3 linked regions of the Ovis aries genome follow. The protein of the gene in region 2 interacts with the protein of the main gene of each other region in a biochemical or structural test. Links are inferred from orthologs where the notes say so. Each region holds a gene or a part of one and is shown on either strand. Other genes may lie near its edges. The genes, in order: FAM20C, FGA and PLAT.

The links.
Region 1: of the proteins of FGA (region 2) and FAM20C, one has a biochemical effect on the other in vitro, tested with the Homo sapiens proteins (2 studies listed by IntAct). The link is inferred for Ovis aries from reciprocal best matches to the Homo sapiens genes FGA and FAM20C.
Region 3: the proteins of FGA (region 2) and PLAT form a complex in vitro, tested with the Homo sapiens proteins (2 studies listed by BioGRID). The link is inferred for Ovis aries from reciprocal best matches to the Homo sapiens genes FGA and PLAT.

The regions. Positions count from the first base shown.
Region 1 is NW_024599764.1:35,608-39,169, forward strand, and holds part of FAM20C (extracellular serine/threonine protein kinase FAM20C), read right to left. Parts: intron 1,616-3,562; coding exon 1,435-1,615; intron 875-1,434; coding exon 765-874; intron 605-764; coding exon 523-604; intron 1-522. UniProt on the Homo sapiens protein: Golgi serine/threonine protein kinase that phosphorylates secretory pathway proteins within Ser-x-Glu/pSer motifs and plays a key role in biomineralization of bones and teeth.
Region 2 is NC_056070.1:3,025,175-3,029,426, reverse strand, and holds the start of FGA (fibrinogen alpha chain), read right to left. Parts: upstream 2,818-4,252; 5' UTR 2,754-2,817; coding exon 2,700-2,753; intron 521-2,699; coding exon 386-520; intron 1-385. UniProt on the Homo sapiens protein: Cleaved by the protease thrombin to yield monomers which, together with fibrinogen beta (FGB) and fibrinogen gamma (FGG), polymerize to form an insoluble fibrin matrix. Fibrin has a major function in hemostasis as one of the primary components of blood clots.
Region 3 is NC_056079.1:36,401,517-36,405,818, reverse strand, and holds the start of PLAT (tissue-type plasminogen activator), read left to right. Parts: upstream 1-1,501; 5' UTR 1,502-1,580; intron 1,581-4,302. UniProt on the Homo sapiens protein: Converts the abundant, but inactive, zymogen plasminogen to plasmin by hydrolyzing a single Arg-Val bond in plasminogen.

The sequences.
Region 1 (3,562 bases), on a different chromosome or scaffold from region 2:
GGCAGAGCTGGGGAGCGGGCGGGGGCACCTGGGCAGTGCTGCCAGGCTGCCCCTGGGGCCCGCCGGGGCCCGCCTCCTGCTGTCCCCAGCCCAGACGCAGGGCCTCGGGCGAGGCAGGTGAACACAGCCCGTCTCACCCTCTGGTTGCTGGACTGAGCGGAAGCTCGACAGCGAGAGGCCCTGGCCGGGCTAGGTGGACAAGGCCCGAGCGCAGGGCAGCCTCGGATCCAGCCGCAGGGGTGTCTTTTACAGCTGGGCGTGAGGGCCCCACACACTGCCCAGGGGCCCAGAGCTGACTCCCCCGAGGCGTCCAGGTACTTGCCGCTCTGACCCCCGGAGGGCCTGAGGCCTGCATACACGCCTGCTCTGGGGCCCTGTCCCCAGCTCACAGGAGCCCGGGCCAGGGCCCTGCGTCACCCCAGGGGGCCTCTGGGGGCCGGGCCGTCCCTCCCACGGAGCGCCCGCCCCCCGGTGTGTCTGGGCCGGGGCAGCTGGCCCCTCGCGGCGCCCGGGAGGACTCACCCTCTCCCGTTGTCCAAGTGGATGATGAATGTGTCATTCCCAAACTTCTCGAAGGTCTCGTAGTGATGGCGGTCCATGTTCCCTGTGGGGACCAGCCTGCTGGGAGCCTGCGTGAGGCTCGGAGGCGCGCCGCCCTCCCTCCCCGTCCGGCCTCCGCGCGGGGAGCAGTGAGCATGAGCACGGCCGCGGCAGCTGGGCCTGAGCTGGGCGCTCGCTGGGCAGGCCAGGGGCCCTGGACGTACCCATGAGGAAGTCGAAGATGGTCATGTCCATGATGTCCAGGATGCGGCGGCTGCTGTCGTAGGGCGGAGTCTGCTTCACCTCCTCGCAGTAGTCAGGGTCCACCTCCCACCTGCAGGGGACCCGGCATCAGAGTGGTGGGCTCCTCTATGACAAGGAGGCCCAAACCACCTCCTGGGGCCTGGGGCTGCCCGGCTCAGGACCGCGGATCCATGGGGCAGCCGGGGGACTGCGTGAGAAAAGGTGTCACCGCAGAGCAAAGGATCTCTGTGGTGGGCTGAGGCTGCGTTAACGGGGCTGGGAGGAGCACGGGGCGGGGAGGCGACTAAACCACACCACCCAGAGGCCACGTGTGTGGACAGGCCGGGACAGCTCACTCGCGAGGACGTCTCCACAGCTGGAGGGACAGCGTCTCTCTCAAGGGGGGGAAGGGATCTGAAGCCTCGTCCAGTTGTGGAGAGACCCGGGGGGGAGTTGGCGCCCAGTCCCTGCGTGAGGGGCCCTTTCTGATTATCTGCGGCCTCAAGTGCAGCCCTGCGGCTCCTCACACCGTCTGCTGTGGACAAGACCCTGGGGCTCGTTCTCTACAGCAGGTCGGGTGGGAGCCAGCCCTCCCGAGACCCCAGGGAGGCAGGACTCCAGAGTCCCCGGCCCAGCGCGCCCCCAACGCACTCTGCCTTCTTGCGCTTGTGGTACGAGCGTCGCCAAGGGTTCCGCCAGGTCTTCCGCTTGGCCAGGGACAGGTCGGGCAGGAAGGCGGCCAGTGAGCCCTCGATCTGGTCCGGCTTCCCGCATAGCGCGTGCTCCGTGGAACAGTAGTACGAGCACTCCCCGTAGAAACAGATGTTGTTGGCTGCGGGCGGAGGGGGCGGTCAGCGGGGGCCCCGCAGGCGGGGTCTGCGTGTCGGCACCAAGTCTTCGTCTTCCCTCCCTGGGCGGGGCCCGCCCACGGCCTCACCCTGGACCTCAGCCACCTGCCCCAGCCCCGGGGCCACACAGCTAGGGATGCAGAGCTCGGATCGGAGTCTGGGTTCTTCCTCATCACCCTCCAAACTAGGTCTGGGGTCTGTGGAGGTTCTGTTCAGTGGTTTGCAAAAGGCCCTCATTCCAAAGAGAGGCAGCATGGGGGAGATGCTTGCAATCATGACCGAATAAGCACCCAGTATTCACACAAGAACCCTTCCATCTCAGTAATAAAAAGATAAATAACCCAATCTATAAATGGGCAAAGGAGTTCAAGGATCCTTCTCCAAAGAATATATAGTAATGGCCAACAAGCACGGGGAAAGATGCTGGGCACCGTGAGTCATCGGGGAAATGCAAATCAAATCCGCAGTTTCTCACCCACTAGGACAGTTTTGATCAAAAGAACAGATACCACCAGTGTGGTTGACAGTGTGGAGAAACTGGCTGCACCCTGATGCAGCTGTGGTGGGGATGTCAAGTGGTGCAGCTGCTGTGAAAACCAGTCAGAAAGCTGGACACAGAACCGGTAACCTGGCCACCCCACTCCCAGGCACACACCCGAGAGAAGGGAAGACACACGTCCACGCAGACCCTTGACGGAGGTGTTCCCAGCAGACCACCCCCGGAGGCAGCGTGGTTTGCCCGTAACGTGGAACAGCACTTAGCCACAAAAGGAACGAAGTGGAACACCACATGGACGAGCCACGAACACTGTGGGCAAAGCCAGACACCGTGCGCACGAGACCCTGGCAGGGGACGAACTGAATGGGAGCTGGCGGCTCTCAGAGCCAAGAGGAGGGGAGGGGGTGGCTTTGAACAGTGATGGCTTCTTTCGGGGAGAGCAAATACCCTGGAATCAGTGGGGCCTGCTGCACAACACGGAGAATGCACTAAAAACCACTTAACTGCACATTTCAGACACTGGACCCAAGACGTGTGGGTCACGGCCCCACAGGAGCAGAGTCGCGAAGCGCCTCGTGCTGGGCGGCGGGCGTGTCTGAGCCTGCGCTTACCTATGGAACCGAGTTCCTGCGCTCCGTCACTGCCTTTGTTTGTGGGGGAAACAAGCCCCAAGCCCGTGGCCCCTCCGCACCGGCCCCCGCCCTGACAACAGCAAAGCCTGCCCGCCCCTGCCCTGCACCTCAGGATCCTGCAGCGCTGCTGCAGACTGGGCTCAGCCTGAGGTCTCTTGTGTCGACATGATTCAATCTCGGCCCGTTTTCAGGAGGAAAATCCTCTCCGAGCCCTGGAATTCGTGTCTGTAACCTCTGAGCCTAAGCTGACTTTAGATGGAGTCAAGTGAAGAGAGAGGCATTTCCCGGGCCCACAGCCTTCTCCCCGTCAGAAACCCGGCCTGTGCAGGGGCGTCAGGGTGGGGCTCCTCCAGCCTGTGGCTTCTCACTGCTCCGCTCTGCAGCCCCGTGCGGGGCCGGGCCCTCACTCCTCCGAGCCTCCGTCCCTGAACAGGGGGCTGTGCAGCTCCTGACTCAGGGAGCAGAGAGGACAGGCGTGGAGTGGCTGGGCTCGGGGAGGCAGTGCCTGTTCCTCTTGACAGTGATGCCCAGGGCAGCTCAGGGCAGCGGGCCAGACGGCGGGGAGGACCCGAGGACTCCAACGAAACGGGCTCCCTGGCTCCGGTCTCCGTGAAAATCAGGGGGTCCCAGCCTGCCAGCCTGAGGGTCCCGGAGAATCCAGGCCGGTTCCCCTGAATGTCTGGGGCTTTGCTGGCAGGAGGGGTGAGTCCTTGCCCATCTCAGAGGCCCCGCGGGTGTGCGTGGGGTGTCACAAGGGGCAGGGCTGCTGGGGAGGGGTCTGTCTGCTCTGGGAAACCCGT
Region 2 (4,252 bases):
CTTGACCTAAAAGTAGTTTCAGAGGGCTAGTCAGAGACCAGGGTCCGCTTAACCATAGATTAGGACCCATGAAATCTGGAGGCCCTGATACTCAGGTTCCTAGTACTTGTCTGAACATGCAGCTAAAATCCAATCTGTTAATCCCACCAATGACCCAGAGCCTGGGAGGTAATTTAAGCAGTGCTCTCAGGACTAGGTTCTTTTCTCCTTGTCTTCTTTTATTCGCTATGTAGGTTGATCAGGTTATTTGCTACTGGACGAGTTTTCAGTGACCTGAAGTGGCAGCTTGCATGCACTTGCCAGCAGGCCAGGAAGGACTGTCCAGAGTCAATCCATGTGCCCAGGGAAGGGCTCTCCTGCCCCAGTCCCCGTGCCCATGGCTCACCCAGTCTTCATCAGCGCAGAAGGGCCAGCCTGTCTCTTTGCAGGTAGATTGCTGTTTTTCCACAAGTCTTGGGCCACGCACCCCTCCTCCTTCAGCTAAAAATTCACCGCCGACAGGATCACTATCATCTGCTGTCTTTAACGATAACACACACAAAAAAGAGAGGTGATCTTTAAGCAGATAAAGAGGAGACACTGGCATGCCTATAAATCCTGACCAAGGGATCCAAGGGGCTCTATAAGCTTCAGTTTTCTTATCTTTTGGATGAAAATCCTTAAGGCCCATTTTGTGCAGTTGTGAGGTTAAAGGAGATTAGTGTACGAACCTTAACTGTGTTTGACACTAATCAAACCTTTCGTAAATGTTAGGAGTTTTAAAGGATCTGTTATTAAAGAAAAATTACTTGAATCAACAAACAGTTAAAATTTACATTTTCGTTCATATCTGGAGATAGAAAAATAATGGAGAAACTCAAGAGTTCTCTCTCCTCTAACTCCTGTTTTAATAGGAAAAAACCTACACTTCAGGTCTGTGTCTCCTTCGAATATCTACAATGACCTTATGGGTCCAAAATTTAAACAACCATATACTGAGGACAAATATGTGGACAATTCAGACTCAGAAATGCTTTTAGGGTTACTCACATAATAATTTCTTTTATTTGAAATGAAAAGTATACTGAAAGAAAAAAAAGAAGGTCCAAGATTGGCAACTTTTTTTGAACATCTTATAATTGGAAATAAAAATTTAAAAAAATTTTCTATTGGTATCAATGAGTGAAATAGGATATATAAATATTCTTCCAACAAGGTGGTATAACTTAATACATCAATGTTGATTTTAGGTTTTAACTATTTTTATTTTGTACCACCGACTTGCAGGGAGTTTTCCGACTGTCTTAATCTCAGTAGTTTATTTTTGTTATCATTTAATTTATTTATTTTCTCTGCGCTGGCTTTTCTCTAGTTTTGGGAATCCTCTCCACTTACGGTGTGCATGGTCGTGGGTTCTCTTGTTGCGGAGAACAGACCCTAGGGCTTTCGGGCTGCAGTAGTTGCGGTTCCCAGGCTTTAGAGCACAGGCTCAATAGCTCTGGAGCATGGGCTTAGTTGCTCTGCGGCATGTGGGATCTTCCCAGACTAGGGATTGAACCTGCCTTTCTTGCATCTCCTGCAATGGCAGGTGGATTCTTTACCACTGAGCCACTAGGAAAGCCCTCAGTAGTTTATTTTTATAATTAGTTAGTATTTTCTGTCTCATTAAAAAAAAAAAAACCAATAATAGTAATGTGAATTCAAGCAATCAAGAGCGATTTATTTAAAGGAACAAGCACAATCTTTTTGTTTTAAAAAATAAAATTATAAATTTAGACGTACTTTGGAATAAAATGACAAGATAATAAAAACAGGTGAAAATTAAATATTTATGCCAATAGTGGAGAAATAAATGAAATTTATGCATTATGCAAAATATAACTTTAGCAAGTGATGTTAGTCTTATTTCCTAAAAAAATGGTTATTTGTTGCTTACTGTACGGGAGAAAATTATGTTAGAAATACTCTTGAGTTTCTTCTACTCTGGTAGGGTTTATAAGTAGTAAAGAGAAAGAAATAAACCAGCATAGTTCACGGCCTGGAAGTAACTGAATTTTTAGAACAGATTTATGATGTTTTCATAAGATTAATTGTGTTTCAAAAGTATTGTTGAATGAAGTTTCTCTTCTTTTGTGTAGAACCTTGTAGTCAAACTTTAGGAATTATTGCAATATTTGTGATTATCTTAAAAGCATACAATTTCTTCCAAAAGCATATTGCTTTATCAATTAATCTCTTCTGATTTTACTGTGTAATTTGTTTTAAAAAATAGCTAATTTTCTTTTGTCTTAAACACAAAACAAACTCTTAGAAAAGCTACATTAAACCATTGCTCTGCATGTTATGGGCAAATACAAATTAATAATTAGGTTAAAAATTCTTATCATAAGAATGTTCTGTTAGCTAGCAATCCCAAGGCTTTACAGCAACAAAGATAGCAAAGATTTCTTCTCTTTAAAACAAACAAACAATATAAAACCAAGGTACAGGTGCAGAAGCTTCCCCCTGTGAATTTATACACTTGGGTCCAGCTAAGTCTCTCTCTTAGGATCATATTCCCTGTATTCTTGAGATGTCAGTCCTATCTGGGAACTTGCCTCCACAGGCTACAGTTTATAAAGCCAGCAGTGTGTGATGATATACACATAGCTGACTCAGACCTGCAAGCTCTTTGTAGAATAAACACCAGGGAGAAAGAGAAAAGGAAATAGAGGCCATACCTGAATTGCACCCACCAAACTCAGGACCAGGCAGAGGTCCCTCACGGAAAACATCTCTGCCGTGGGTAGGTCTGACTCAAGAGAAGCACCCAGCTGAAAGAAAGGAAGACTGCCTCCTCTTCCAGGCCCCATCCTATTTAAATCTGCAGGAGGTCTGATTAATCATTATCTTTGTCCCATTGAGACAGTCAACATGCACCCTGCATCCCTCGCTCCTTCTGTAAGGTTGTTGTCCTAGAATTTCTTGCTCAATTCCCCAAGCTTGTTTGCTTCTGATAAGCTATTGCAAAGGTAGCCCAGTTCGTGGAAAATTCCACATTCCAGGAACATGGTGACTTTGGAAATGCAAGGGGGAACATGGGAGGACCTACTATTGGAGTACTTGAAAGAATACAGAGGGTGGCAGAGGCAGGCTAGCCATAGCCCACCAGGAGGTAGAGATTTGACAACTGAGGTTTCAGTTTACATAGGAATGATGGTTGGTGGATCTGACTTTTGACTGACTATGACGATGAACTGATCCTGAAGGGCTTCAGTAAGCTTACTGTGAGCAGAGATGACTTCCCTTTATCCAGAATGGTTAGGACAGGCAGCCCCTGAAGCCAAATATCCTAGATTCATAATCCCAGCTACACCATTTCCCAGCTCTGCTTTTGGACAAAGTACTCCACTTCTTTATGCCTCAGATTCCTCCTAGTGATAACTTACCACACATTTTTATGAAGAATAAATAAGTTAATCTTTGTAAAGCCCTCAGATTGCCACATAGTAAGTACTCAGTAGTAAGTGTGAACAATTATTGGAAAACATAAAATGCAATGAAACTATTATTTCTTTCCGGTTTCTGTAACTTTGGACCTGCTAATTTATTTCCCTGCTCTTTATTGAATTTTCTTTTCTAAGGAGTTACCAGATTTAGCAAATAAAAGACGAGGATGCCCAGTTAAATTTGAATGTCGGATAAACAGCAAATATATTTTAGTGTTAGTGTGTCCCATTCAGTATTTGGACATAGACTAAAAATTTATTGTTGTTGTTTATTTGAAATATATATTTAACTGGGCATCCTATGATATGTCTGTCAATCCTACCTTGTCTCAAATGCTGCTTCCTATATGAAGCCAATCCTGATCGTAGTATAATAACCAAAAATTATTGAGTGTTTACTACATGCTGGGCACTTTGTTGGACACTTTACATAGTACCTGATTTCATGTCTCCAATTGAAATCTGCCTCTTATTTTTTCATACTTCCTTAGACCATGTACCACTCATAATATTTAGTACTACAGGAACATTATCCATCTCATCCATTAAATCATAAACTGGAGAACTGACATATTTTATTGATCTTTATATTTTCCTCAAAAGGTATGGGACTTCACCAAACAAGAAAGCATACATGAACTCCACTGTTGTGACCACTGTCTCTTCAGGCTCTGTGGGTGTGTGAAGCCTGGTGTGATTGTGTGAGAGTCCTGGTACAAGGCAGAGCCTTCCCACACCACCTGCTCCATGGAAGCTTCTTTGTCTGACCAGGCTCACCACTGATG
Region 3 (4,302 bases), on a different chromosome or scaffold from region 2:
CCTGTTACTATCACCCCTACCCCTGCTGAACCAAAATGCCAAAAAATCCCCAAACCCTCCAAGCCTTATTCTGGCAAAGTAGACATCTCGAGGCACTCCCCCCGGCCTGCTGTAGCTTGTCTGATGCTGGTCTGCAGCTTGCCTGGCTCTGATGCACCAGGATATGCCTGACTTGGTCCCCCACTGCCTTTCCTGTAACGGCCGTTGGCAGGGCTCTGGTTTGATTAAAATGTAGAAAACTGGTTCGACCTTGGCCACGCTAGCATTATTTTCCAAATCCCGAATCAGCTCTCATTGCTTGATAAACACGAGCGTGTTTAGGATTAGAATACAGGACACCTGGCCGCTCGTCCCTCCCACTTTCCTCTGCCAGCCCCCAGCATCCTCTCCAGCACCCTTCCTCGTCCTCCTCTCTCACCCTCATGGTGCCTGGTCTCCACTAGACATCGACATAACAGATGCCACCGACTGTGCCCTGTGACGTGCCAGGGATCTCGCGTGCTTTGTCTCTCTCTAATCCATATGTGACCTCAGACGTGAAAGCTCAGCATCACTGAAAAACTTGACTGAGGTCACATCCCTCATGCCCGGTACAGCTGATTCAAGCGTCTGCCTTTCCCTACATGGCTCAGCCCTGGGCCCTGACTTATGAGTCCTCTGCAGGGGGTTACCAAATCCTACGGAGCATTTACGATTAAGAGCAAACTCCAGAACACTAAAACACTTCCCAGTGTCGGGGTGGGCGGGGAGGGATGGAGTTTCTAGTACAGGCAGCCCCGTGGAGTCAGAGCATCAACTCAGCAACCCCACCTGTATCCCCCAGCCCAACCAGACATCTCTGGAGCTGAACAGACCTTAGTAATCAAGGATTCACTTTATGAAGAAGTGAAATGATTTCCCCCCGGGGTGATGGAGCTAGGAGTGGCTCACTCCAGGCTGGGGCACTGCAGGTGTGCAGGTGGGGCCTGCCTACCTCTGCTAACCTGTCCTCACCCCAGCCCCAGGTGATCAAGCCCGCAGGGCGGCTGGCCCTGCCAGGCCCGCTGTTTCAATCTCCTGTGTCCAGAGGGGCAGAGTGACTGCTGGAGATTCCGGAAGAACCCTATCCACTCCGTGTGTCTTTGTTTAGAATTGTAAAAGCCTCTCTCCCCCACTGGGGCTTAGAGCTAACGGATCCTCAGGGTCCCTTTAAGGAGGTTGAGACTAGGGTTTGAAAGGAAGATGGTTCTTCGGGTTCCCCTCCAACATCCAACTCCCAAATTCCTGTGATTCGTTGATGACATCAGGACCATGAATAATCGGCCTGGCCCCGAGCCAGGATGGGCTGGGCTGCTTCCATGGGGGAAATTCCTCCCCCCCTTTATGAAAAGAGGCCCGCCCCAGCTTGGCTCCTGCGGGGCCCAGTGTCCACTGGGCATCCTCCTGCCGCAGCAAAGCCCGCCCACCCAGGGCCAGCGACCCCACCCCCTGCCTTGAAATTTAAAGGAGGCCGGTGCCCTGCAGGGAGAGCCAGCCACGGTCCTGCAGAGCCTGGCGCCGAAGACAACGCCTCTGGAGGAGGGAGAAGGCTTGGGCGCACGGTAGGTTGGACTCTGTGCCTCTCTGTCCCTGGCTCCTCTTCTCTCTCTTAAAAGTCTTTATGAGCCACTGAAGGAATGTCGGCCCGAGGGGGCTGACTCCGTCACTCAGGCCAAAAGTGGGGTTCGCTAGAATCCATGTCTGGAGGGAGGTTTCTTTTTGAATGTGCATCCTACAGGGATGGGCTGAAGCGTTCGAGGGGACAGCAGCGGTCAGGGCAAGAGAGAGGGCACTAGGGTTGTGTCTCCTGAAGCAGAAATCTCTGCTCGCACAGGGGAAAGTGAAAAGGGTGATCCATACCCGCTCTGAGTAGACGGTGGGCCCGGCTCATCACTCACGGGCAAGAGAAGGGAGACAGGCTGATGGGGTCAGAGGCCAGAGGGTCCCGGGGGCATGAGCCCACAGGGAAACTGAGGCAGGGCTGGGCAGAGAGCGACTTGCCCACGGAGGATTCACTGGGTGGGAAGTGCTGGGTGAGAGGAAGGGGGAAACCGTCAGAGCGAAGCCTCCGGTCTCCTTCCGAGGCCGGGTTTTGTCCTCTGGCTTTTTGCCCAGGATGGGAGGGGAGGGCTCTTTGAGGACTCTTCCAATTACAGAGTCTTCTCTTCCCCAAGCTCTCTACAGGAACTGTATTGGGCATTCTAGGCTTTCACTGTTATTATGTTGATTTTCTTTACCTCCCAGAGAGGGAGGGAGGGAGGGAAGGAAGGCACTCTAAGGTAACTGATGACACGCTCAAGCCCAAAGCCGTGTGGTGGCGGTGACTGATGTGGACGGCAGTGGTGGCCTCCCGCAGCTGGTGCATGACAGAGAAAACATTATGTGTGTGTGCGTGTGCATGTGTGTGCAAGCCCATGAAGAAATTCTGAAATACAGCCGCTAAGTGGAGTTTCCTCAGAAGGGCTTCCTAGCAAGTCTTGCCTGGGGGCAGAAGACGTCCCAGGATCTGGGCTCTGACTGCTCCAGAATCAATAGATGACAGTCAGAGGAGCTGCCGGCTAAGTGCTTCCTGTGAGAGCAAAGCCAGACCTGGCGCCAGCAGAGACGGCGCAAATAACCGAAATAGGAAGAGCTCCATCCTACCCATCAACTGATCGCACCTAAAACATTCTCAGAGACACCAGCCTGCAAGCGCCGGCTCTTGGCATGAGCAAGCGAGAGCTTGCTCTCCGCCCGAATGGTCCAGGCTCTTTGCGGATGCTCGGTTTATTTTATAAACCATTAGATCAGATTCTCCCAGTGAGGCTGCTCTCTGTGGCTTCTGCACTGGCCTGGGACAGTTCCTGCTTCTGGAGGAACAGAAATGGTCCCATGATGAGTTTTCGCTTGTGGGGGCAGGACCTGGGGACCTGGGGACCTAGCGTGTTGGTGAGCAGAGCTGGTGATCAGTAGATTTCAAACGAATGCAAAGAGCAACCCAGCCAGATCCCTGGCGGTGTGACGTGAAGCTGTCATCACCACGAAAGGCTTTTTGTGAGTGAGTGGCCAGGACCACAGGCCATCTGGGAAGTCCCTGCCCAGGTGGGGCCTGTCTCTACTTCACCTCCAGGTCTTCTGGTCCCGCCTGGGGTTTTACAGCAGCGTGAGGGGCCTTGGGCTAGACCGTCGTTTGAGAGGAGCACAGTTGGCTTTAAACTTCCAAAGCTTCCAGAGGGAGGGTAGGCTGTCTTGGATCAGAGGCCGAGGGGACAGCATGGCTCATGGAATGAATAGCAAGCAGGCTTGCTGTGTGTGCTAAATCACTTCAGTCGTGTCTGGCTCTTTGGAACCCCACTGACTGTAGCCTGCCAGGCTCCTCTGTCGATGGGAGTCTCCAGGCAAGAATACTGGCATGGATTGCCATGCCCTCCTCCAGGGAATCTTCCCCACCCAGGGATCGAACCAGCATCTCTTATGTCTCCTGTGTTGGCAGGTAGGTTCTTTACTGCTAGCGCCACCTGGGAAGCCCAATAGTAGGCTTAGTTCCAGTCAAAACTCAAAATCTATATGCTTCTCTGAATACTGAATATCTGGGGGAGGGAGGAGGGAACATTTGTGTCTTGAGTTGAAGTGTTCAGTTTCAAAGGCTCCCAGGCATGTGCAGTCTCAGAATAAAATCTGTATTCCCTATGAGTGACTTTCTGCCTTGTTCTGATAGGATGGTCAGAGTGGACGGTGAGTGACCGGAATACTCTGTTCATTCCTTCTTTGGCTGTTCTCTGTGCACAGAGAAAAACTGTGTCCCTAGTTTCAGACAGTAAAACTCATCCTAGCCAACCAGCTCACAAAACCAAGGGCTGGGTCTCCAGTGGAGCCAGATTAAAAGGTGAGGAGGATCCAGACTCACAGAAAGCTCGAGCTAGGAAGAATCTTCTGAACCATCTGCCCTAGTCCAGCCCTCAAGTCCAGGCACACGGTCTCCTGCTATTCGCCTGAGCGTCTACTTACATATTAAGGAGAGCACACTTTCTCAGTCATACTTGTGCATTTTACATTCCACTTTCCCACCTGCGAAAAAGACTTCTATAGAAGGGCATAGAGGGATAGATGAACAGACCTCTTGATCGCCTGAAAGTTGAAACTTAGTACAAAGGGAAAAGGAACTGGGTGCTGGGCCCACAGCAGGCATTTTATAAACAGTTTTGAAGGTACAAGCCAGGCAAGTTCTGGTTTTGATCATGATTCTCCAGAAAATGATAGCAGCAGTTCTTCCTGGGGAACTGGTACAACTGGGGGGTCTTTAGC